Linked DNA regions of Cricetulus griseus. Each later gene encodes a partner of the first gene's protein in a complex. Links are inferred from orthologs where the notes say so. Each region holds a gene or a part of one and is shown in the gene's direction. Other genes may lie near its edges. The genes, in order: Eftud2, Rbmx2, Rbm48, Snrpd3, Gpkow, Sf3b2 and Snip1.

What was found.
Region 2: Eftud2 (region 1) and Rbmx2 share a complex: the UniProt entries of both Homo sapiens proteins name them as parts of the minor spliceosome. The link is inferred for Cricetulus griseus from reciprocal best matches to the Homo sapiens genes EFTUD2 and RBMX2.
Region 3: Eftud2 (region 1) and Rbm48 share a complex: the UniProt entries of both Homo sapiens proteins name them as parts of the minor spliceosome. The link is inferred for Cricetulus griseus from reciprocal best matches to the Homo sapiens genes EFTUD2 and RBM48.
Region 4: Eftud2 (region 1) and Snrpd3 share a complex: the UniProt entries of both Homo sapiens proteins name them as parts of the minor spliceosome. The link is inferred for Cricetulus griseus from reciprocal best matches to the Homo sapiens genes EFTUD2 and SNRPD3.
Region 5: Eftud2 (region 1) and Gpkow share a complex: the UniProt entries of both Homo sapiens proteins name them as parts of the minor spliceosome. The link is inferred for Cricetulus griseus from reciprocal best matches to the Homo sapiens genes EFTUD2 and GPKOW.
Region 6: Eftud2 (region 1) and Sf3b2 share a complex: the UniProt entries of both Homo sapiens proteins name them as parts of the minor spliceosome. The link is inferred for Cricetulus griseus from reciprocal best matches to the Homo sapiens genes EFTUD2 and SF3B2.
Region 7: Eftud2 (region 1) and Snip1 share a complex: the UniProt entries of both Homo sapiens proteins name them as parts of the minor spliceosome. The link is inferred for Cricetulus griseus from reciprocal best matches to the Homo sapiens genes EFTUD2 and SNIP1.

The regions. Positions count from the first base shown.
Region 1 is NC_048600.1:115,271,214-115,274,713, forward strand, and holds part of Eftud2 (116 kDa U5 small nuclear ribonucleoprotein component), read left to right. Parts: intron 1-1,820; coding exon 1,821-1,956; intron 1,957-3,500. UniProt on the Homo sapiens protein: Required for pre-mRNA splicing as component of the spliceosome, including pre-catalytic, catalytic and post-catalytic spliceosomal complexes. Component of the U5 snRNP and the U4/U6-U5 tri-snRNP complex, a building block of the spliceosome.
Region 2 is NC_048604.1:20,792,335-20,796,304, reverse strand, and holds the start of Rbmx2 (RNA-binding motif protein, X-linked 2), read left to right. Parts: upstream 1-1,170; 5' UTR 1,171-1,209; coding exon 1,210-1,370; intron 1,371-1,538; coding exon 1,539-1,654; intron 1,655-3,925; coding exon 3,926-3,970. UniProt on the Homo sapiens protein: Involved in pre-mRNA splicing as component of the activated spliceosome. As a component of the minor spliceosome, involved in the splicing of U12-type introns in pre-mRNAs.
Region 3 is NW_023276806.1:221,961,466-221,964,965, reverse strand, and holds part of Rbm48 (RNA-binding protein 48), read left to right. Parts: intron 1-1,696; coding exon 1,697-1,842; intron 1,843-2,806; coding exon 2,807-3,375; intron 3,376-3,500. UniProt on the Homo sapiens protein: As a component of the minor spliceosome, involved in the splicing of U12-type introns in pre-mRNAs.
Region 4 is NW_023276806.1:263,063,379-263,067,437, reverse strand, and holds the start of Snrpd3 (small nuclear ribonucleoprotein Sm D3), read left to right. Parts: upstream 1-1,259; 5' UTR 1,260-1,413; intron 1,414-2,650; 5' UTR 2,651-2,666; coding exon 2,667-2,792; intron 2,793-4,059. Other genes in the region: protein GUCD1, read right to left, coding at 383-425. UniProt on the Homo sapiens protein: Plays a role in pre-mRNA splicing as a core component of the spliceosomal U1, U2, U4 and U5 small nuclear ribonucleoproteins (snRNPs), the building blocks of the spliceosome.
Region 5 is NC_048604.1:114,172,703-114,175,040, forward strand, and holds the end of Gpkow (G-patch domain and KOW motifs-containing protein), read left to right. Parts: intron 1-170; coding exon 171-256; intron 257-341; coding exon 342-476; 3' UTR 477-1,838; downstream 1,839-2,338. UniProt on the Homo sapiens protein: RNA-binding protein involved in pre-mRNA splicing. As a component of the minor spliceosome, involved in the splicing of U12-type introns in pre-mRNAs.
Region 6 is NC_048596.1:54,019,650-54,023,886, forward strand, and holds the start of Sf3b2 (splicing factor 3B subunit 2), read left to right. Parts: upstream 1-1,437; 5' UTR 1,438-1,471; coding exon 1,472-1,604; intron 1,605-1,775; coding exon 1,776-1,822; intron 1,823-2,265; coding exon 2,266-2,343; intron 2,344-3,573; coding exon 3,574-3,813; intron 3,814-4,237. UniProt on the Homo sapiens protein: Component of the 17S U2 SnRNP complex of the spliceosome, a large ribonucleoprotein complex that removes introns from transcribed pre-mRNAs.
Region 7 is NC_048595.1:27,983,365-27,986,864, reverse strand, and holds part of Snip1 (smad nuclear-interacting protein 1), read left to right. Parts: intron 1-1,400; coding exon 1,401-1,984; intron 1,985-2,813; coding exon 2,814-3,078; 3' UTR 3,079-3,500. UniProt on the Homo sapiens protein: Required for pre-mRNA splicing as component of the spliceosome. As a component of the minor spliceosome, involved in the splicing of U12-type introns in pre-mRNAs. Down-regulates NF-kappa-B signaling by competing with RELA for CREBBP/EP300 binding.

The DNA.
Region 1 (3,500 bases):
CCCGTCATCAACTGTTTATTAAAAATCTTTGAGCCAGGCAGTGTGCAGCAATGGCACACACCTTTAATTCCAGCACTCAGGAGGCAGAGGCAGGCGGATCTTTGTGAGTTCCAGGACAGCCAGGGCTACACAGAGAAACCCTGTCTCAAAACACAAACTTTTTGTCAGATGGTGGTGGTACATGCCTTTAATCCCAGCATTAGGGAAGCAGAGACAGGAAGCTCTCTTGAGTTCCAGGCCAGCCTGGTCTACAAAGCTACACAGAGAAACCCTGACTCAAAAAATTCAACAACAAAAACCAACCTTTTGAGAAGTGTCCCACCTTTAATCCTAGAACCCGGGAGGCCAAGGCAGGCAGATCTCTGAGTTCAAGGCCAGCCTTATCCATGTAGGAAGTTTCAGGACAACTAGGGCTACACAGAGAACCCCTGTCTCCAAAACCTTCAAAACCTCTTGGAAAGCTGGAAAAATGACTTAGTGCTTAAGTGTACTTGTTGACCTTGTAGAGAACCTTAGTTCACTTTCCAGCACCCATGTTGGGCAGCTCACAAACACCTGTAATTTAGTTCCAGGGCATGTGGTGCTCTCTTCCGGGACTCCATGGGCATCTGCATGCATCATACACATACATCACACTCAATGCATTTTATATACATGTAAAATTAAATACAATTTTTAAAAGGTTTTGGAGTCTTGGAATTTAGCTCAGTGCAATAAAGCGCATGTCTGTCATACACAAAGCCCAGGGTTCAATTCTTAACACTGCAGAAAACTAGGTATGGTGGCATAGGCCTGCAATCCCAGCACTTGGGAAGTAGACACACGAGGATCAGATGTTCGTGGTTATCTTAACCACATAGTGAGTTAGAGGCTAGCCTTGACTACTTGAGACCCTGCCCCTAAAAAACAAGGGTCCTGGAGGGGGCTGGTCTAGCAGTTAAGAATACTTAATTGTTTAACCCTGCCTCAAAACAGAAGGTAAGAACAGGTCTTGGAAGTCAATTAAATGTCTCTGTCACTGGAAACCTGCGTAGGTCAATCATGGTGTAACTGTGACGCATTTGCCTCACCTGTGTGGTTGATCCTCAGGACCACACGAGGAAGGAGGAAGGGGGAGGGCTAGTTGGACTTTAGAATGAAACATGTTTATGTGAGTTTGTGCTGAAGTACCGAGCTGGAAAGGTGAAAATATCATAGGAATTTTTATGCAGACTTTTCTTCCAAGACAATAATAAAATATGCAGGTGTTTAATTAGAGCTGCGTCCAGTGGACACACATATACACGATCTCATGCACACAATGTGTGTGGCCGTTCCTACCCACAAAAGAGGAAAACACAGCAGTAGAATAAAATAATGACTAAAATTTACCAGTGCTAAAAAAAAACCCACTTAGTATCTCTTGTCAGGCTGGAATGGATTAATAAAAGAAATTTACAGAATCTGCCTCTGTAGAGAGACCTTGAGTCTGCCGAGGATGATTTAGCATGGCTCTGTCCTGACAGGTGGCCTTTTTTGGTTCCTTCCAGTGTGGGCCTCTAAATCTGGGCAGACTTTAAGTAGGGAGGGGTAAGGGTGATTTCTTGAGTGGGCGCAATGCTGCTTGTCAGACACTAGGGGGCAGCACTGACAGTAATCAAGCTGAATGCTTACTTTATGGGGCATTCGGAGACTTAACCAGGTCAGCTTCACTCCTGAAAACTAGGTAGTGTCTACTCACTCCTCCCTGTAGAAGCCTGCTTGGCCTCCCCTCACTCTGTGTGTAATGTCTCACTAGGGCTGTCACTACAGAGCTGACCCAGTGCCTTCTTCTCTCACAGGTGGTGGGTGATGTGGATACCAGCCTGCCAAGGACCCTGGACGAGCTTGGCATCCACCTGACCAAGGAGGAGCTGAAGCTGAACATCCGCCCTCTGCTCAGGCTGGTCTGCAAAAAGTTCTTTGGCGAGTTCACAGGTAATAAATATCTCAAAGCCCTGGACATTACTCTCCTCATCCGGGCATCGTGGTTCACACCGGCAGTCCTCTAACTCAGTGGTTAGATCAGTTGTTTACAGGACACTTTGGGCTACATGATGTCTCAGAAAATAAACAAGAACAGCCTCAGGTGTCCTCCCATGGCTTACCTGGGAAGCTCCCTTCCCTGCAGGGCAGAGGAGTTGTGAGGGCATGTGAACCAACTGAGGTGGCTTTTCCAGCTGTTTTCTTTAGGTGTTTCTTGTGTTAGAAAAAGGAATTAGGTTTCTCCCGTCAGGAGGGTCCTGCAGGTGACGGAGATAAGTGGCAGGCTCTAGGCTCTGAAGTATTTACTGGGGTCAGGCAGGAAGGTGGATGGCCAGGGATGTGGAGTAGCAGGGAAGGCACAGGTGAGGAGCACTCAGGAGATGATTGGTTTTCTTCATCGCTATGACAACACCTGGCAGAAACAGTTGATTGCGACTTGTGCTTTAGGAGGGTGCATCGTCGTGGAGGGAAAGGCACGTAGGGCTCACAATGAGAGTGGGTAGCCAGGCCTCCTTCTTCACAGACCAGGAGACAGCCTGGGCTAGCAGCGGAGCCAGCTGTAACTGACTCTGCTGCTAGGCCCACATTCTCACAGTTCTGCAGCCTCCCCAGACGGTACTCCTGCCTGGAGCCAGTGGGGGACATTTCATATTGTCCTCACAGGGGCTTGGATTCATTTGAAGACGGGGTCTTGCTATCCAGGTCTGACTGTCTTGGAACTCACTATATAAACCAGGCTGGCCTTGAACTCACAGATCCTCCTGCCTCTGCTGCCTAAGTATTGGGATCAAAGACGTGCACCACCACACCTGGCAAAACCTGAGTTTTGCTTCTGGCCTGCAGCTTTTAGGGGGAACCAGGCCAGACTAATTTTTTCTGTGACTGATTTTTGTCTGTAAATAAGAACAAGTGCCTGTAATCGCAGCACTCAACAGACTGATGTAAGATTGTCATGAATTTAAGACCAGCATGTGTTATATAGCACTGTTCAGGCAGCCTGACTTACAGGGCAAGGTGCTGTCTTAAAAAATAGCTGTGAAACAGGGCATGATGGTGCATGTCTAAGCCCAGTATTCAGGAGGCAGAGGCAGGCAGATCTCATGAATTCAAGGTCCATCAAGTCTACATGGGAAATTCCAGTGCAGCCTGGGTTGTATAGTGACGCCCTATCTCAGAAAGTTTGAGTGGTGGAGGGACAAGGGAAGGGTCCTTAGCAACCATGGGTTCTTCGTCTAATGGCAATTAAAGGTGTCTGGACCTTTAAAGATTATACTAACTCTGGACTGGCCATCAGCCCAAAGATACTGGGCACCCATCAAGCAGATACACTTGGAACTGGGACTGTGGTTCATTTGTAGACCTCTAGGTTCAGTCTTGAGACTGAAGAAGAAAAAAATTTTAGTCTTCCCAGGGTGCTAATGAGCAGTCTGTCTCGTGGCTTATTAACCTGTTAGGGAAACGGTAACTTACTGCATAGAAACGTGTAGTGTTTCTCC
Region 2 (3,970 bases), on another chromosome or scaffold:
GATATTTGCATCCTCATGTTTATTACTTCTTTATTCACTATAGTAAATAATTAGAATCAGCCTAACTGTCCATCAACATAAGAATAGGTAATGAAAATTTGGCATATATGAAAGGTGGCAAACTATTCAACTATCAAGAAAAAATAAAATCACAAAATTTGTAGAAAAATGGATGCGATTAGAGTGTATTAAGTGAGGTCATACAATCTCAGAAAAACTCTGCATGTTTCCCCCTTATATGCAGAATTTAGCTAACAATATACACATATACGTGAACAAATGTACATGTGAGTGCCATGTAACATGAAGAAAAAAGAACAAGAAAGGCTAAATATTAGGTGAGGATGGACTGAATGCAAGTAAAAGGGGATATAAATCAAATTCTTATAGCTCTAATGATATCATATTTTTTGGTTTTGTTGGTGGACAAGTGAATAAAAATATATTTGATAGTGACAGCCTAAAATCCAATGTGAAGTTCCACAGCTTCTGTTCTCAATGCTATTCTAACAGTATAGAAGTCCATTTGAGTCTTTGGGTCTGGTTAATTTCAGTGTTTAACTTGCAATCGTTTTTGAAATAATGAAGTTTAAAATAAAAAAAAAATAAAGTCAGTTAATCCAGTAGGGCGTGTTGATCACGAGACAGGGTTTCTCTGTAGCTTTGGAGCCTGTCCTGGCACTCGCTCTGGAGACCAGGCTGGTCTCGAACTCACGGAGATCCGCCTGCCTCTGCCTCCCGAGTGCTGGGATAAAAGGCGTGCGTCACCAAGGCCCGGCGTAAGACCACATTTCTTACGTAAATCTGTGGGTATTTAATTGGGTCTGTAGAGGCACACTGGTCCGTCTTTAATATTCGAGCGGGGAAACAATTCTCATAGCTATTTTCTTTACTTTTCTACTGTTAAATCCCAAACAGGGAGGCTTTGAGGGACTATTTTTGAGCAATTGCCATGGAGGGAAAGAACAGGGCTTTAGATTGAGAGAACAGGGAGTTTCGTCACCCTATCAGACACACTACTTCATTCAGAAAACGTTTAAAGCTAAATCAAACAAAAACTATCCAGAAGCTGAAGGTCCCTTAAAACCCCGGACCCCGCCCCTGGTCTACGTCACTAGGGAACTAGTTCCCTGACTAACTGACTGGAGAACTACTTCGCCACAGGAGCAAAGGGCACTAAGCGCGAGAAAGGCTTCCACGCTACTGCGCATGCGCCAAGTCTTAACGTGCCGGAGCGGAAGTTCCAGCGGAAGTTCCGCCTCGAGTTCGGCCGCCTCCAATCTGAGCTGGGTGATCGGTTGTGCCCGCCCTTCGTCGCCTCACCCGGAAGCTCATTTCTTGAGAGAAGAGCGCGAAGGCGCGAATATGAAGTAAGGGCTTCGTTTTTTTCGTCGGGAAGGGGGAGTGGGTTGCGGACAGTTGCCCACAAACGGTGACGGGTCCTCGCCGGGGCGGTGGGGCCTTCAGGCCTCGGGGCGGGAGAAGAAGGCAGGCTGGGAGGAAACGAACTTTTAACGAAGTCTTCTCCTCCCGCGCAGCCCTTTAACTAAGGTGAAGCTGATCAACGAACTGAATGAGCGAGAGGCTCAACTCGGGGTGGCGGAAAAGGTGTCTTGGCACTCGGAATACAAGGACAGCGCCTGGATCTTTCTTGGTGAGGGCCACAGTTTTCTCTAGCAGTGCCTTTCGGAGTCGCTGCGACCCACCCCCCTCCCGCTCCGGTTACTTAGAGCCCCTGCTGACCACGCTTGTCACCCACACAGCTTGTCTGCCCACAGTCCGTTTTTTATTCTCTTTTACTCGTCCTTTTCCAGTTATCTTTTCTGATAACCAGTGCTTTTTTTTTCTTTTTTTTTTTTTTTTTTTTTTTTTTTTTTGGTTTTTCGACACAGGGTTTCTCCCTGACTTTGGGGGCTATCCTGGAACTTGCTCTGGAGACCAGGTTGGTCTCGAACTCACAGAGACCCGCCTGCCTCTGCCTCCCGAGTGCTGGGATTAAAGGGGATTAAAGGTCTCGCGCCACCAGCGCCCGGCTTAGCCAGTGCTTCTTAGAATTGGTATTTACCATTCATTGCACTTAAAGGCTTTCCACTTAGCTGCCCAGAGACAGTTAACTCCACAGCCAACACATTACGAGGCCAAAGAAAGTGCGGTGCGGACAGGTGACTAGAGTTCTTTAAGGTTACATACTACATACTGCAGCACTATGAGATTAGTGGTCATTATTTTCATTTTTACTGTCTGCCCCTCCGCAAAACTATTTTCTCCTGTGATTGACTTTTGCTTCTAGTACTTTGCTGATTGTTGGGTTCCTGGACAGACAGTAGCCATCTGGAAAATATTTCGTGTGGACTCCTCACTCAAAATCAGCTTTACTCCTGCTTAAAATTTAGAATGTCATCTGAAAAGGTCGCGGTATCTAGGCGTGTTCATTAAGGGAAAGCTATACACCTGGTGAAAATACAGTCCACATTCCACTCTTGGTCCTGGGTGGATATGATGGGACATTTTAAGCAAACCTAACTGCCACATACTAGTGTGTCCCTTCCTTAAGACTTAATAAAGTTGGCCAGGAGTCACCTGTCAGGAAAGCTCATTCACCTGAAGACATGCTGAGGACATGGAAGGAAAATGATCCCCTTAGTGAAGCAATGTCCCGCAGGAGTTCCTCACTGCACTTATTACCTATTGCTGTTACATCTGTCTGCTGTTCTGACATCTAACTTATCCATCCCCTCCCTTTCTAGCCCTTCTTTGAATATTGTCTGAAATCCTGAGCATGCTTGCCCTAACACTCTGGACTTTTTCTTATTTCAAGTCTACAGGCTCTCCCGTTCCCTTGCAGCTGTTTCTTAGCCGCCATTTTTGAGCATGCCTGCCTGCATGGCCTTCTGATTAACTACGTATTTCTTCGTCTTGTCCATCTCCCTCCTCCCAGTAGCTGGTAAATTTTACAACTCACCTCCCCATCAGCTCTCTCTCAAATGCTAATAAAATGGATCTCAGGCTTCCTCAGTCTGTTTTAAAATTACTGACAAGACTAAGAGCCTACAAAGGGGAACTCTTAATATCTCTGGGAACAATATTACTATCCTTTGTTCACTTTATGTCACAACCAATAATCCTGCAGTTTGACTTTTGAAAGAGGCTATTTCACTAGATATTGTGTTAAGCATTTTATATGCACCGTTTTATTTTGTGTTTATAACATTCTTGTGAGGCAAATATACTGATAGCCCCTTTTTACACAGGAGGTAAAAAACATGGAAGGCAAATAATTTCCTGTGACTTGCCTAACAGTTTTCTTTAAAATTCTTAGTTTACACATAGGTGAGCATAACAATAGCATATTTGAACTCAATGTTTGTGAAATCTGAGTCTTGTGCAGGAAATTTTCTGTTTTATAGGAGTTTGGATGTGAGGACTGAATGAGATTAATTTGGAAGACAGGCGTTGGTGGCACATGCCTTTAATCCCAGCACTCGGGAGGCAGAGGCAGGTGAATCTCTGTGAGTTTGAGGCCAGCCTGGTCTCCAGAGCGAGTGGCAGGATGGGCTCCAAAACTACACAGAGAAACCCTCTCTCAAAAAACCAAAAAAAAAATTAATTTGGTAAGTGGTAACCCCTTTCCACTTAGACTTAATCACTTTTATTCCTGTTTTTGGAGACAATCTCATTTTGTAGTTCTGGCTGTCCTGGAACACACTCTGTAGACCAGGCTTGCCTAAAACTCACAGAGATCCAAGAGTTAATTGCTTTTCTGCTGGACTGTTGTCACTTTTCATCCTCTGTCATTGCATTAGACTGATTTTTGTGAGTTCAGGGCTTACTCACTCTGCACCTCCAGTATCTGGCCCAGTGCATAATATGCAGTAAACACTTGATTAATGTTTGCTGACCTGAACTGTGCTTTGTTTTCTTCTAGGAGGGCTTCCTTATGAACTGACAGAAGGAGACATCATCTGTGTGT
Region 3 (3,500 bases), on another chromosome or scaffold:
GGTAATATCTCAATAAGAATTAATCATTATCTGTAGATAACAGAAGTACTTGATTACTTATTATAGTGTTGGTTCAGAATAGGTATTCAGTATCTCTTGAGTGAAAACAATTTATTTCTTTCTCTTTTATTTTTGTGTGTATGTGGTGTGGTTGTGTGAGCCTATTCACCTGTATGCATGTAGGACCCTGTGGATCATCAGATCTCCTGGAGCTGGAGTTATACAGACACTTGTGAGTTGCCATGCTGGGACTTGAACCTGGGTCTTCTGGAAGAGCAGTCAGTGCTCTTAACCCCTTAGCTATCTCTCCAGCCCCAGAAGGAGCAACAGTTCTTAATTTTGCATTGGTGAGCTGTTGTATTTTCACTGTTTCCACTTGTTCATGTGCGTGTGTACCTACGCGCACAGGAGACGGTTCTTTCCGACCATGTGGGCCCCAGAGGTTGAACTCAGGTCTTCAGTCTTAGTGGCAAAGGCCTTTACATGCTGAGCCATCTTACCAGCTTCAAGTTATATATTTGGCTCACAAGTTCTATTAACTCAAGCTAACTAGTAGGATCCTGAGTTATTCTTTTAAAAAAGAATAGGTAAGTGTGACTAGCTTAGCTGAATACCTATTGAGATTATGAGTAGAGAGAAAAGAATTTCTTGGGGTTGGAGATATGGCTGGGTGGTAAGATAGCTTGCAACTCTTTCAGAGAACGGGTTCAGTTCTCAAGCACCCTTGTCAGGTGGCCCACAACCACTTGTAACTCCAGCCCCACAGGATCCAGTGACTTCTGGTCTCTCTCTGTGGGCACATGCACACAAATGTACAGAACACATACATACAAGTAAATAGATAATAAATCTTTTTATTAAGAGTACTTTCTGAGCTGGGCATTGGTGGCACACGCCTTTAATCCCAGCACTCCAGAGGCAGAGGCAGGAGGATCTCTGTGAGTTCGAGGCCAGCCTGGTCTACAAGAGCTAGTTCCAGGACAGCCTCCAAAGCAATACAGAGAAACCCTGTCTCAAAAACAAAACAAACAAAAAATAGTACTTTCTGGATCAGTGGCATCATCCAAAACAAAGCATCTTACCCAGCCTCCTATCTCCCCCCCCCTACACACACACAGTTTGCTCCTTAAACCTATGGAATACCTATTAAGCTTTTATCTTAGGTAAATCTGGATTACAAAGCCATGGCTGCAGAGATGGCTCGGCAATTAAGAACATGGACTGCTTTTCCACAGGACCTGAGTTTGATTCCTAGTAACCAGGTCAGGTGTCGGTAAACTCTAGCTCCAGGACAGAGCCTCTACACATACTTACACATAATTGAAAGTAATAAAAATAATAATTTTCTGGGTGTAGTGGCACATATCTTTAATCCCAGTACTTGGGGAGGCAGAGAAAGAAAGAAAACAAGCTATGTATCTGGGCGATGGAGAGATGACACAGAAGCTAAGAGCACTTATCGCTGTTCCAGAGATCTCAAATTTGGAGTTTGGTTCCCATCCCTCATGTCAGGCGGTTCACCACTGCCTGTAACTCCAGTTCCAGGGCCTCCATCACCTCTGGCCTCCTTAGGCATCTGTACTCATGAGCATATACTTGAATGCAGAATACACGTGTATATAAGGCATAAATAAAAAGCCATGTAATTTATGTGTTTCTCTTTTGAGTTCTCTTTAAATTATCTAATTCCCTTTAGGGTAGCTAAGAAAAAGATGGATGAGCAGAGTTTCTTTGGTGGGTTACTTCATGTATGCTATGCTCCAGAATTTGAGACAGTTGAAGAAACTAGAAAAAAATTAGAAGAAAGAAAGGCTTACATTGCAAGAGCTACTAAAAACAAAGGTACGGAAAGTCTGTTGTAAACACTCCCTGTGTATGGGGCACTACTAGGGATGTGTGTCATTGTGGAGTCCCTGCTCAGTTATGGCCTTTGGTGACTTGAACCACAGGGTTCTGTGTAGCACTGTACAGTCTTGGCAAGAAAGACAGGGTGTTGGTTCCTGGAATATTTCCTATGGGATCTGAGAGATGGTTGAATTTTAGCAAATGTTATCAGAAGGGGAGTGGAGAGGATGGCAGGGTGAGTCAGGCTACACGTTTAAAGCTGGGGAAATAAATTGCCATCATGCGTTTAAGGAGCTGTAAGTCCTACAGGGTAACCAAAATACCAAGGTTTTAGTGAGAGAAATTAGGAAAGTAGACAGGAAGCAAATCATGAAGTGCCATGTGTCACCTGCTAAGCAATCCAGTGACTAACATGAAGGCAGCAAGAAGCAACTGTGATTTGCAAACCAGTTAGAAGTGCTACTCCTGGTGGGAGAACTCCAGTTTTTGATCAGCAGCTGGTTCAAATGTCCACATGTCCAACTGAGTTTCTCCTGACACAAGTAGGAACTAAACATGGTTTATCCATATAGTAGAATATTCTGAAACTGTAAAGGTTTCTACGCAATGGTATGGGAAACTCTCTAAGATTACAGTTAGTGGAAAATGTAAAAGAATAGATTTTTATTATCTTTTGACTAGGGAGACAAGGAGGCTCCAGGGGAACTGTGAGGCATTTTAGATAGATGAATAAGACAATACACTAAATAAGTAGGGAAAACAAGGAGAAGGGAAAGCTTGACACAGTACCCTTTCCTATCCTTTCAGAAAGCCCTTAAATCTTATCAGTGCCTTCCCTGCTCTGGAAGTATCATTTGGGGAGTAGAGTGTGGTTTTAGAATTACAAGATTCTGAATGATCAAAATGATTAATGAAACATTTGTTTATCTTTCCCTCAATGTCTAAAAATACAACTTTGAAGACTATTACATGACAAAGAAGAAACTGGTTCCAGAGCAAAAAGGAGCAAATGATTCTAGACAAGATTTCCATCCACATATGCCTGGATTTTGCACAACTTCTTTGAACACTTCTCCTGAGAACTCAAGTCCTTCTCTTCCTTATTCTTGTGACTTGCCTTTATGCTATTTTGCCTCTCAAAGCAACTTTTTACCTGGGGAACATATGGACAGAGCATCAAATTCCTGTAGTAGCGGTAGGAACCATAGTGAACTATCAGAGCATTGTAACTACAGTGCCTTTTCCCCAAAAGTACAGGTGAACACTTACAAGAATTCACTACCTTGCTCTAGTGGGCAAGAGGTCATTACTACCTCAGAGTCAGTCGGCAGATTTATGCCTAGGACAACACAGCTGCAGGAGAGGAAAAGAAGGAGAAACTGTGATCATGAACTTGGAATGTTTCCTGAAACAAACACAGGCAGTAACGAGGTTGTGATTGGACCTAAGTTACCAGGAATTCCCACAGTGGATCTGCAGGATGACTCCTTGAATACAACGGCAAATTTAATTCGGAGTAAACTTAAAGAGGTGAGGTAATTGTTTTTTAATTGAGATAATTTAGTTGTAGAGTCAGCAACTATTTAGGAAATTATTTGGAGGAACTAAAACATTGTAATTATTCATTTTACTTTTTGTTTTTGATGTATTTTCCT
Region 4 (4,059 bases), on another chromosome or scaffold:
AAAAAAAAAGGCCCTTCCCTTTGCTGAGGGATCTCAGGCCGTTCTTTCCCCCTTCACAGCCCCAGGCCTTCCACAGTTCCCCCTAGGAACAGCATCACGCAACGGGGTTCAAGCAGGACCATTCGTTTCTGGGGAAGGCAGTGCCTTTGCCCCCTCGGACTTTTGCACTTGACTGCTCTCAGAACTCCCCGAGAAACAACCAGAAGCGGAGGACGGGAGACGAGAAGGAATATCCATCCACCTAGCTAAGGTCCACTGGAAGCTCCAGTCTGGGCTGAGGCCGCCTGCGGCCCAAGGTCGCGCGGCCAGACCCTGCCCAGCTCCAGGGCGGAGTCCCCCTCGGTTTCCCCGGTGAGGGCAAGGCCCTCTGAGAGGCACTGACCGGGCTCGAGCGGCTGCCCCGCTGCCTCTGCCTCCGTCCTCATGACCCGGGTGGCGCAGGGCGCCCATGGCCCCGGCCTGGAGCTGATCGCAGCTGCGACTTGTGCTGGGCAGCGAGCGCGGCCAGTGTGGGGAGAGTTCCGCCGCCGCCTCTCCTCCTCCTCCTCCTCCTCCTCCCGCCGCCGCCGCCACCGCCGCCCGCCGCCGCCGCCGCCTCCGCGGTTCAGAGCCGGGTGGGCGGGGGCTAGGCCGCCTCAAGCCCCGCCTCGTCCCTGCCAGGTCCCCGGCCTGGAGACCCGCCCCTCCCCTAGGCCACGCCTCCTCGCCCACCCACTTCTCTCCCATAAAGAGCGACCCGCAGGGCCCGCCTTCTGCGGAAGCCCCGCCCCTCCCGGGCCCCGCCCCCAGGCCCTTCCATAGCGACGTTGGCTCCTCCCAAACCCCCTCCGCTCGGCTTGCTCCTTTGCAGCCCCGGGTGTTAGCGCCGGCCCCTCGCAGTGCCTGCCTCATCGAAACGCCCCGGGAATCCTCCTCTGCCTCCCTTTCGGTCTTAGCCACACGATGAAAAATGCCAGTTTCCCACGCTCGGTGCGCCGCTTACCTGATGGCGACCAGATCCAAAGCTTAGATTCCTAGTCCAAGCCTCACTTCCTGTGGCACCACAGCAATTTTGGGGCTCCAGCCTAGCTCCCGCCCAATCCGTCCCTGGAGTACTTTGTAAGTGGGGGGGGGGTCTCCATGTTCCTTTTGGGGCTCGAGGACGGATGCTTCCGGCGGCCCCCCGGGTCCTCTCCAGGGCCGGAACGATAATGCCAGAGCCGTCGTTTTCCGAGCCGGCGGAGTTAAGGAGGAAGCATACGTCAGAGCGCTCTCGCCGCTGGGGAAAGGAAGAGGAGGGGCCCTGCGCGCGGTATCCTGGGAACGCGTGGTATTCTGGGTACCCCGGGCCCGCCATTCCCTCGCTTCACGCCTTCGCCGTGTAACGTTTGTGCCAGGGCCGAAAGGGAGCCGGTGAGGAGAGGCGGAGAACCGGTAAGAGGAGGCCTAGGCGTCCCCGGAGGGTTAGGGGCAGGAAGGGAGCCTGCGGAGGAGCTCAGCGGGGCACTAATGGCGGGCGGGAAGCCTGGGCCGATCCAAACACCGTCTCACCCGCGCTTGGAGCAGCTCCTCGTTTACGCCTGTCTGCGCGTTCTGTGCCTTTCCGGCTCGCCGATTTTCGGAGCTCGCCCGCAGTCGTTTCTCACGAAATACCCCCTTTCCCTGTGTGCCCTCCTTTTCAGCGTCCTCTGCATCCCTGCTCCCCTCGGATTCCGGCGCTGGCCCTCCCCTGCCTTCCACGACTGCTGCACGAGTCTTAGCGAGTCGCTGTGCTGCAGAAGGGCCATGTTCGAGCTATCCTGCAGATGCTGCTATTATTCCTTTTTGTTTTCTACTGAGCCTTTGGCAATGACCCTTTTGTGTCCCCCCCCCTCCACCGTTTTCAGCATAAAACTCACACTCCTTAAGTTGAAAGCCGTGGTTCCTCACCAAGAGAGACAGCGCCCAGCATCCTTATAGCCTTCTCATGGACATAGGTGGGAACGCTCATCACAGTTGCGCTTAGCCTCCGTCTTTTACTGAGGCTTAAATCGAGCGTCGACCCTGATGGTGCTCCTGTGAGCATTTCCTGTCACTTTGTGAACGCCTTGCTATCTTATCAGGGTCTATGTCTGCTGAGCACTTGGAATATTACTAGTGTGACTGGGAGGGGAGGGGCTTTTTAATTTATATTTCAGTTGAATAGCTACAGGTAAGCAGTGATTGCTTTTGAGGTCCATATCATAGTTCTTGGGTGACTATAAAGGGTCATGTGTTTGGGAATAGATAAGAGGCACTCTTCATTCCCACCAGCCTCTTCTGTCCAGCTTGCTTGCCATCCTTCCCAGCTCGAAGGCAGTGTGTCCTTGCCATGGTGGTTCCTTCAAACCAAGAGTCAGACTCCTTCCACAGAAAATGCAGCTTAGGCCGGGCGGTGGTGGTGGCTCACACCTTTAATCCCAGCACTCGTGAGGCAGAGGCAGGCGGATCTCTGTGAGTTTGAGGCCATCCTGGTCTACAAGAGCTAGTTCCAGGACAGCCTCCAAAGCCATAGAGAAACGCTGTCTCAGAATAAAAAAAAAAAAAGAAAGAAAGAAAGAAAGAAAATGCAGCTCTGACATATTTGCAAAGGGTATGGTATGCCAGTCCTTCTTAAGCTCTGAAAGACAGCTGTTGTCTCTCTCTTCCACAGGAACACTCCTGCCAAGATGTCTATCGGTGTGCCGATTAAAGTCTTGCACGAGGCTGAGGGCCACATCGTAACTTGTGAGACCAACACTGGCGAGGTGTATCGAGGGAAGCTCATTGAAGCAGAGGACAACATGAACTGCCAGGTACCTTGCTTTGCACCTGTGAAGGAACTGTGGGTGAAAGGTAATATCTCTGACTGCTCCAGGTCTAATACACATACCTTGGAGTTGTCATAGAGAGTTCAGATGGCTGTGTGTTCACAGTGGCCAGCTCAGTGCTTTGCGTGCAATAACTGGTGCCTGTTAACTGTATTCCACATGAGAAAAGTAAAGGTTGGAGAGGGAAAGTACATTATTTAGAATCACACCTGTGGGTCAGGTGGCCTGACTATTGCCTTTTAGGGTTTGCATTAGTTATTTCCTGTGGCTGTGATAACACACCATTAGAAGGGGTTTTTTTAGGCTTGCAATTACAAAGGAATGAGTCCATCGTGGAGGGGAGAAATGGTAATAGCAGGACGCTGAGTGCTTACATCTTCAATAGAAAGCTTGAAGTAATGAGAGCTACCTGGAAGTGTTGGAGGGTATTAATCTGAAAGCCTGCCTCCAGTGACATTCTTCCTTCAGCAAGGCTGCATCCCCTCATCCCACCCCCCCCAAAACAACCCACCAACACATGGGGGCCAAGTGTGCAAATGCCTGCAACTGTGGAGGATACTTTTCATTTAAACTACTGTAATTGTGCTGCTTAGTTTTTTTGTCAACTTGGTGCAAGTGAGAGTCACCTTAGAAAGGGGAACCTCAGTTGTGAAAATGCCTATCCTATAGGCAATTCTGTGGGGCATTTACTTGATTAGTGATTGATGGGTAAGTGCCCAGCTTATTAAGGGCTAAGCCACTTCTAGGCAGTTGTTTCTGGAATAAGAAAGGAAGCTGAAGGCTGAGCATGGTGGTGCACACGTTTAATCCCAAGACTAGGAGGCAGGGGCAGGTGGATTTCTGAGTTCCAGGAGAGCCAGAACTGTTTCACAGAGAAGCCCTGTCTCGATAAACAAAACAAAAAAGATGTATTTGTCTGTTTTAGGGCATTTAGTTTTGGGAGTAGAATGAAAGAATTTGGATAGTGACTATTAATATATTTAGTATGCTGCTCTAATTAATGAAACTTACCGAGGTGGGCTTCAAACAGCCCAACTATAACAGGAATTTGTCTGACTAGATTATGGTATTCTCAGAAGTGCAGCCCATGTGATGCAAAGACACAAATCTTAGTACATTATCAGGTTAAATCTTGGAAAGCAGTGTGTCTTGTGTGTGAGCTTTGTGCTGCCCTTGCCCCCTGTTCCCTCCAGAATCGGTGATAACAGATGAATGCTCACTTTGATTTACTTTAGAGTGTGTAAACTGAGGT
Region 5 (2,338 bases), on another chromosome or scaffold:
CCAGCCTGGTCTATAGAGCGAGTTCCAAGACAGCCAAGGCTACACAGAGAAACCCTGTCTTGGGGTGGGGGTGGGAGTATCTCTAATAAATATTAGCAAAGGCCCTCCTGACAGGATCAAGCCAGACTGGCCTTTTCTGTGAACCTCATTCCCCTCTCCCTCATCTGCAGGCGTGAGAGAAGACATGCTGGAAACCCTGATTCCCAAGGGAGAGGGCCGTCGTGTGATGGTGGTGCTGGGAAAACACACTGGAAAGGTGAGTTCCTATGCCTGGGAATGAGTGTGGAGATCACTGAGGATCTGGGCCGACTTTGCTAACTCTCTACCCCATCTCTCCTCAGGTGGGACGACTTCTGAGTCGGGACAGTGTGAAGAGTCAGGGTTTGGTACAACTTGGGAGAGACAATCAGGTGGTGGAGCTCCACTATGACGCTATCTGCCAGTACGTGGGCCCCAGTGACTCAGATGAAAACTGACATGTGGACCACTGCTGTCACCCAGGCTGTCACTATTGTGTAGCAATCTACAGCAGCTGCCATGGAGAAGATAATTGTTTTGTCCTCCTTTGAGCTGCAAGGACAGGGACATGAGTAGATAGACCAAACTGTCTACCAAAATTTAGAGTGTATAATAAAAACCATTTTTAAAAGTGGAAAGGTGAAATCAAAACCAATATGTGAGCTTTGAATTTAGTTGGGAACTGAGATGACTGAGGTAGAAACGCCTTCATTTCTTAGTCTCATTTCCCTGCTCAGAGTTCAAGACAAGTTAAATTGCCTATCCAATACAGAGCTCACTCGTGGAGCATAGAAACTGTGAAATCTGCCCCCAAACAAACACTATAGAATCTCCAGTGCTACATCTCAGAACAGCTTCTGTTTGGATCTTGAATGGCTTTCAAAGGCCCATATCTTTCTTTTTAAATGTATTATTTTTAGTTATATATATGTGTGTGCCTGTGTGAGTGTGTGTGATTATGAGTACAAATACTTTAACCAAAAGTGTTAAGTCCTCTGGAGCTGAAGTTACAGGCAATTGCAAGCTGCCAGACATGGGTGCTAGGAACCAAACTTGGGTCCTTTGAAAGAGCAGCAAGCACTCTTCACCACTGAGCCATCTCTCCAGCTCATATATCTGTATCTTAAAGGATTCTTGCCCAGGATTCAGCACCTATTTTTGACCTTTGAAAGATAAAGGCCTAGTAGAAATTACTTAGGTTATGACTTAGAAACCTCCAAAACTGTGAACCAAAATAGACTTTTCCTCCTTATACTTTAATTATATCTGGGTAGTTTGTCAGAGTAAGGGGAAACTGACTACTGCTCTCAGTGAACTCTAGGACAATTTCTTGCTTGCCCTAGGTGACTGTGTTCTAAGCCTTTTCCCTGCTTAATGGCCCAAGATAATCAGCAAGAGAAGTCAGAGCCTTAGACACAATTGCTTCTAAATCATCCTTGAAGCTTAAGTCATTCATGCAGTAAATGGTAATTGACTTAGGTCTGGGCCACAGGTAAAACTACCTAGTCTGTTATCCTGTTGCACACTGAAAAGAATCAGAGCATCCCAGAATAGGATGATAAAGAGATGGCACTCAGTGTGTGTCTACCATATGTAAAGCCTTGTGTGTTCCATCCACAGTACCACCAGGAAAAAAGGGAACCAGAGGCAAACTGAACTCTGACAAAAATGAAAAAATATAAAAAGACTTGAGTCACCAAGTGTGGTAGCCCATATCTGTCATCTATCACTTGAAAGGCCGAGACAGGAAGATTCGCGTGAGTTCTAGGACAGTCTAAGCTTCATCAAAAGACCCTTTCTTCAAAAACTAAAAAAACAAACAGTAAATGTGCTGGGTGTGATAGCATACACTGTTGATCCCAGCACTCAAGAGGCAGATCTCCATGAGTGTAAGGCCAGCCTGGTCTACAGGGCAAGTTCCAAGTCAGTCAGGGCTACATAGTAAGAGCCTGTCTCAAAATAGAAATAAGGGGAGTGTGGCTTTTCTCCTTCCTATTATCCCTTTTGTGTCTCTTGTCTAATTGCTATAGCAAAGACTTTGACACTGTATAAAATAAGATAGGGGCAAGTGGGAATCTTTCCTTATCTCATTCCTGATTTTAGAGGAAATGCTCAGTATACCTCCATTTAATATATGTTGGCTATAATATAATGTTGGTTTATTGTATATAGCCTTTATTATTTTGAGGTATTTTCCATCTATTCCTACAGACTCCAGAACATTTATCACAAAAACATGTTGAACTTTGTCAAATGTGTTTTCAGCATTGACTGAAATAATTAATGTGATGTCTGTCCTTGAGTTTGTTTATATGATGTA
Region 6 (4,237 bases), on another chromosome or scaffold:
TTGGGGACAGCTGGTGAAACGGAGGTGGCTAGGAAGAGAAAAGATCTGAAGTGTGTGGGTGAGAAATGAGACCATTTGTGTTCGTCTCCCTTATTCATCACACACAAGAACAAACAGGCTGCATCGAGAGTGGAGGAAGAACTAGAAGGGAGAAGTGAGGAGACAAAATGAATGGGTGGATGCTTGGCAGGCAAGGGTCATGGGGTCTCCACCCAAGAAAAGAGTCTGAGTGTTTTCTTCCTATAAGAAGATAAAATCCCAGGGATAGATCCCCCCCACACAATCATTTATTAGGTGGCTCCTGGATGCTAGATGCTTCATGATAGAAAAAGATCAAGTTCTTGCTCCTGTTTTGGGAATGGAGGTAGGAATAAAGGGTACGAAAGACTTAAAAATGAAACAGGACAGCTGGGCGCGGGTGGCACATGCCTTTGATCCCAGCTCTTGGAAGGCAGAGGCAGGCGGATCTCAAGTGAGTTCAAGGTCAGTCTGGTCTACAGAGCGAGTTCCAGGACAGACAGGACTGTTGCACAGAGAAACCCTGCCTCGAAAAAAAAACAAAAAAAACAAAAAGGGGCAATAGATTGGCTCACATTTGTAATACACTTACTTAAACAACGAAAACCTTGGGACTGGAGAGATGGCGTTAAGAGCACTTGTTGCTTTTGCAGAGGACCTGCAACCGTCTGTAACTCTAGTTCCAGGAGACACTCTTCTGGCCTCCACAGACATCAGGCATGCAAGTGGTGCACATTTCGTTTTGAAAACAAAAGGTGGAAAGTTGGGTGTGGTATGAAAGCTCCTAGAAAGGAGAGGAAACATTTGGCAGAGAAGGCATTTTCTTAAGCCTTTCTCGAATGTGGAAAAGGGATTTTGGTATCGCCCTTCCCCCAAGTCAGCAGCTGGAACTCAGCCCGGCGGGTCCGTTCCTCTACGGGCTCCGATCCCCTTTCAGCCCATTCAAGCACGCCTGGGCCGGGAGCGAGCAGGCAAACAATCGGACACTGTTTTATCAGAGGCATCGGCTCCAACCTCCCACTTGGCGGGCGCCGGAAAGCAGTCTCTATGAGCTCCTGGGTGGAATAAGCATCCAGGTACCTCATCACCGAGAGTGTCGGGTCAGAAGACTTAGTATGCGTTTGGGCAGGTGAGGAGAAGAAGAAAGGAACCAATGGGTGGAGGGCCGGGTCTTCTCAGGGCCCTAGCGGCGGATCTACCACAGGGTACGGGATGTTAAAACAAGCGTCCAGCCTCTAGGCGGTGCAACCGTAGACTACAACTCCCAGAAGGCCGTGCAGCCTTTGTTAGCGGCGAATCCTATCTCCCAGCGAAAGGCAGTGAGTGGGTGTCTGAATCAAGTGCTTTCCAATCACCGCGGGACGTGGCGGAGTGCTCTGCCGGAAGTTCCGGGAAGTAGGCCCGGTGGCTGATCCGAGCTTCCGTGTTGGTCGCGCGCCTTCTTGTGGCTAAGATGGCGGCGGAGCATCCAGAGCCTCCCAAAGGAGAATTGCAGTTGCCGCCGCCGCCACCTCCAGGCCACTATGGCGCCTGGGCTGCTCAGGAGCTTCAGGCCAAACTGGCGGAAATAGGAGCTCCGATCCAGGGTGAGGCTCCCGGGGCGGTCAAAGGGGGCTGCGTGGGCTTGCGGGGCAGTGGGACCTGGTTACCCAGGAGACTCACGGGCGGGGGGCGGAGACAGGCCTCTGGGGCCCGACCTGGCCAAGCCGGGCTGTTCCGGCTGGTGCTGACCCCGGATTCTGTGCTTGGTTCCGCAGGGAGTCGCGAGGAGCTGGTTGAGCGGCTGCAGACCTACACCCGCCAGGTGAGTTGTGGCAGGAGTTGAAGATTACTTTTCCTAGAGGCCTTTAAGATAGGCCACGGATCGGTCTTCGTTTCTTTTACATTTTTTTAAAAAGCTTTTAGGCGGGGTTTTACTGTGTACACCTGGTTGTCCTAGAACTCTCTCTCAGTAAACCAGGGTGGCCTGGAACTCAAGAGATCAGGCTGCTTCTGCCTGCCGAGTGCTCTGGGATTAAAGGTGTGCGCCTCCACGCCCGGCTGGGTCTTCGTTTCTTACGTACTTCATCGCGGCAAGTCGGGTCTTGACCGTTTTGTCAGTTTTTGCCTTTGCTTTATTGTAAAGGTTACAGCCCCAATCTCTGGCAAACGGGCATCGGGTGCACTTTGTTAAATAAATGGTGGAGGAGGCCGTGCAATGGAATAGTTCCCTCTTAGTCTGACACACAGTTCTCTTTTCTTTTGTAGACGGGCATTGTGCTGAATCGACCTGTTTTAAGGGGAGAAGATGGGGACAAAGCTGCTCCTCCTCCTATGTCAGCACAGGTAAGAGACTGTTTATCGGTCATTCTGTTCAGGATAACCTTTCTCCCATGCATTGCACTGGAGATAAGAATATAGTGAATTAAGGGTGGGGTCTGATGAGACAGAATTGGGGCCTTTTCACTTCTGGCTTTGTGCCGGTATTCATCAGTCCGCAATGTCTGCTCTTCTAAATTTGACCTGTCATTCAAGAGTCAACTTGAATACCTAGAATTCATACTTGGTTCTCTCCCAGTTGGATGTAGTCATGTGTTTTGTTATCAGGCATAGCTCCCAAAGTTATTCATTGACACTTTAAGGGGTAATGCTGTGATTTTTTTATTATATACCTCCTGCATTTAGTAATTCATTGACAGTCTGTGCCCTGGCACATTGGTTTCTATTTCTTTAAAAAAACATATTTAAAGTTTAGTGGTGGTGAACACCTTTAATCCCAGCACTTGGGAGGCAGAGGCAGGTGAATCTCTGAGTTTGAGGCCACCTTGGTCTACTGAGTGAGTTCCAGGACAGCCAGAACACAGAGAAATTGTATCTCAAAAATAGTATCTGTGTGTGTGTGTATATGTGTGTGTGTATATATGTGTGTATGTGAATATATACACATATTTATGCATATGAGTGTTTTGCCTGCGTGCATGTCTGTACACCATGTGCATGCAGCATTACAGGAGGCCATAAAGGGGCTTGGATCACCCTGGGGCTGGAGTTACAGAGGATTGTGAGCTGTTATCTGGATGCTGGGAATTGAACCCTGTGATTCAAGAGCAGTTCTTAACTGCTGGTCCAGTCTCTCCAGTACTGGTTCCTATTTGTTTAAGTTCCTTTGGAATCCAGTATTTGAGTGTCTTCCTCTAAACTAGTGGCTTTGGCCTGGGTGGGTGGGGTGTGTGTGTGTGTGTGTGTGTGTGTGTGTGTGTGTGTGTGTGTGTGTGTGTGTGTGTGTGTGTGTGTGTGTGTTTGTGTTTTGTTAAGTGCCTGTATAGACTTTAGAGGTGTTCTTGTATTTTCTTAAATTGAATGCAATTTCAGAGGACCCAATAGCTTTGTTTGATCAGTGTTCTAAAGTTAGCCTTTTCTTCTCTTGATTCTGCTATGGTGCATTTTCTTGAGTTCTGCATCACTAGACTTTGAATGCCTGGCTCTTTTGCTAGTTCCCTTTAGAACTTTAGCTAGAAAATGCTTCTAAAGTGAATAAATGCTTTCTAGTTCATAGCTATATATTTTTTTCCACAGCTGTCTGGGATTCCTATGCCGCCACCACCTATGGGACTCCCCCCTCTACAACCTCCTCCTCCACCTCCACCACCTCCACCAGGCCTTGGCCTTGGCTTTCCTATGGCTCACCCACCAAATTTGGGTCCCCCACCTCCTCTCCGAGTCGGTGAGCCTGTGGCATTATCAGAAGAGGAACGGCTGAAGCTGGCACAACAGCAGGCAGCTTTGCTGATGCAGCAAGAGGAACGTGCCAAACAGGTAGGACAGGTGGAAACCTTACCTAGGTCACCTTAGGTCCCTGATGGGGAAATGGAACCCCAGAAAGCTAGACCCGGAGGCTGTGCCTTTTAGGAAGGTCTTGGTTGAAGACCAAGACCTAGGTAACAGCTGGCAGAGAATCCTAGAAGCAAGAATTTTGGCAGATTGGCCTGGTTGTATTGTTGCTGGCATGAGTTTTTTTTTTTTTAAGCAAGGAAATCATTCATTGAAGGAACATAGCTCTTAGAGCAGCAGAAGAGGGTAATATTTCTCTCCCTAACTTTTATGTTTTTTTTTTTTTTTTTTTGAGACAGGGTTTCTCTGTGTAGCTTTGGAGCCTATTGTCACTTGCTCCGGAGACCAGGCTGGCCTCGAACTCACAGAGATCCGCCTGCCTCTGCCTCCCGAGTGCTGGGATTAAAGG
Region 7 (3,500 bases), on another chromosome or scaffold:
CCTCTGGTTCCTAGCGAGACAGGTGGTCACTAACTGTTAGCTTCTTCTGGAGACTGCTGTTGAGGCTTTGCCTGTGGACTGGCTGATTACTGATTGATTTCTCATTGGTCTGTTTTTGTCCTTGTTTTTTTGAGACAGCATTTCTTTGTGTGATAGCCTTCCTGTGTAATAGCATGCTGGAACTCTGTAGATCAGACTGGCCTCAAACTCACAGAGGCCTGCCTGTCCCTACCCCCTGAATACTGGGGTCAAAAGCATGTGCCACCACCATCAGTCTCTCATTGATCTACTGGTGTGTTATGTGTATTGTAGTTTCTGCCAGGCTGATTTTTTTTTTTTAAAGATTTATTCATTTATTATGCATACAGTGTCCTGTCTGGATGTATGCCTGCAGGCCAGAAGAGGGCACCAGATCTTTTTACAGATGGTTGTGAGCCACTATGTGGTTGCTGGGAATCGAATTCAGGACCTCTGGTAGAGCAGTCAGTGCTCTTAACCTTTGAGCCATCTCTCCAGCCCCATGCCAGGCTGATTTTTAGTATGTAATTGTTGAAGCTGGAGCTTTTGAAATTATTTCAGTTTCTTTTTGGCTTATGAGGAAGTTGACTTTTTCCTTTACATAAATGTAATGGTTCTGTCCCCCCTCCCCCTCCTTCTCTCCCCCTCCCTCCCTTCCTCTCTTTTTCTCTCTGGAGGGAGGACAGGTTTTGTGTAGCCTTGGCTGGCTGTCTTGGAACTCACTCTGTAGACTAGGCTGGCCTCAAACTCAGAGATCCACCTGCCTTTGCCTCCCAGGTGCTGGGATTAATGGAGTGAACCACCACCACCACCTGGCTACTCTGTTCTGTTTTCTACACATGCTGCCCTGTGAGTTTGCTAGCAGGTGACTGATGGGAATATTATTTCTCCTTCCCTCTGTATCAGCCTCTTGTTTTGAGGGCTCTGGATGTGGGCTTGGGCTATCAGGCCTGTATTTGAGGAGCAGCATGGAGTATAGTCATAATGGCCCTCCAGGGGAACAGAACTACCACAGATGACACTCCAGGGGAATAGAACAGATAGTCTTGTGTAGATAGGAATTTGCTCTGAATATCATCAGCACTCAGGTTATAGATGTGTTGTTCATTTTGGGGGATTTAATTATTTTATGTGTGTGGGTGTTTTGCCTGCATGGATATCTACACCATATAGATGCAGTGCCCATGCTTACCACAAGAGAGCATTGGATCCCCTTGGAATGATAGTCACAGATTGTGAACAGTTATGTGGGTGCTAGGAACTGAACCTGGGTCCTGGAACAGCAGTCAGTGCTCTTAACTGCTGAGCCATCTCCCCAGCCCTGACAGCTTATTCACAGAGTAGAAGCCGTCTTTCCTTTACTGAATGCATCTTAATTTCAGGAACGTGAGGACCATCCTCGGAGAGGACGAGAAGATCGGCAGCACCGAGAGCCATCAGAACAGGAGCAGAGGAGAGCTCGTAACAGTGAGCGAGACCGGCACCGGGGCCATTCCCGCCAAAAGAGGAGCTCTGATGAGAGGCCTGTCAGTGGTCAGGGTCGGGACCGAGACAGCCAAATTCTGCAGGCCCAGGAAGAAGAAAGGGACTTTCATAATGCCAGGCGCCGGGAGCATCGTCAGCAGAATGAAGGTGCTGGCGGTGAAGCTCAGGAGGTGATCCCTCGCCCTGCTGGTAACAGAAGCAGAGAGGTGCCTGTTAAAGAAAAACCAAGCTTTGAACTTTCTGGGGCACTTCTTGAGGACACCAATACCTTCCGGGGTGTGGTTATTAAGTACAGTGAGCCCCCAGAAGCCCGGATCCCAAAAAAACGGTGGCGTCTGTACCCCTTTAAAAATGATGAGGTACTTCCCGTCATGTACATCCATCGGCAGAGTGCTTACCTTCTGGGCCGACATCGCCGCATCGCCGACATTCCCATCGACCATCCCTCCTGCTCAAAGCAGCACGCAGTCTTCCAGTATCGGTAGGTAGACCAGGAGGAGGACTGGAAAGGGAGCTGGGGTGAGTGTCTCATTGAGGACCCCTATGCTGTTTGTGGAGATGCAGAAGAGGCCATTACACCTTGTATCTAATAAGCTGGGCTGAAAGAGTCTAGCAGTCCTTGAGTAATCTCTTAACATTTGTGTGAGAATCTTGAACTTGATATCAGAAACCCAGATTAGCCGCTATCATTGCGGTGGTGCAGGCCTATAATCTCAGGTGTCAGAAGGCCAAGCAAGTATAAGCCAGAGTCAGAATGCCAGGTATATGCTGGCTGAATCTGCTGCTTAGATCATATTACCGTTACTATCTGATCCTCCACAGTCCCGTGGGAAAACAGGACCAGTGTTAACATCCTCATTTGACATCTGGGAAAACTGCAGCTCAGCACAGTTGCTGGTAGCAGTAATGATCTTCAGAGCAGAGCTCTGTCTCATATCCCGCCCTTGACACGAAAGTCTCATCTCATTCTAATGTTTTTCCCCATTTGGGCTGGTGCTAAAATAGCTGTACAGCATTGGAGGAAGTATATTTGTAGCCATAGCAAGAAGCCTTGAGTTCTACATTGGGATATCTCATGGCCCTCCATCCCCACCCACCACCCACAGCCAGCTCTACTTTTTCTCTTAGATATATTTAAACTGCTCCCAATTTCCCTGTCCAGGGCAGTGCTTCCCCTGTGACCTTCCAGAGGTTTTGTTTGAACCATGTTCGAGTCAGGTCAGTGACATCTAGATCTGTAGCAGAGAGCTGCAGAGTAGATGGTCCCTGGTAGGACTTGCTCACATGCTTCTCTCACTGGTCTCTTCTAGGCTTGTGGAGTACACTCGTGCTGACGGCACAGTTGGTCGGAGGGTGAAACCCTACATCATTGATCTGGGCTCAGGCAACGGGACCTTCCTAAACAACAAGCGTATTGAACCACAGAGGTACTATGAACTGAAGGAAAAAGACGTCCTTAAATTTGGGTTCAGTAGCAGAGAATATGTCTTGCTCCATGAGTCTTCAGACACATCTGAACTAGATAGAAAGGAAGACGAAGATGACGAGGAGGAGGAAATGGTGTCTGACAGCTAGCAACTGAGAAGCACCCACCCCCTCCCCCATGAGAATCCGTTCCTCCTGGAGGCCATGGGGTTGACTCCAGCGCCTCTTCTTGCCTTAAGTCTTTTCTCTGTTGCTGCCCAGCTTGTGTTGCAGTATGAGAACTCTCACTTCGTGTTTTGTTGAACTTGGCACAGCAGCCGCCTGCCTGTGGGCGCTTGTTTTCAGAACAATCTCACCAATTACAGCATGTTGAGTTTTGGTCAAAGTGTGTGGCTGTAGTGGGTGCCTTCAGAACTGCTGCACAGGAAACTTAAGCCCTTGGAAAGGGGATTGTGGCTTGTTCTCTTTGTACAGTTTCTTATTTATATAGTCGTTGAGCTTTGTGGACCAGGAGTTTTGTTTTGGTGACAAACCCTAGAGCAGAGAATCTCAGTAAGCTTTGGTTGTCACCA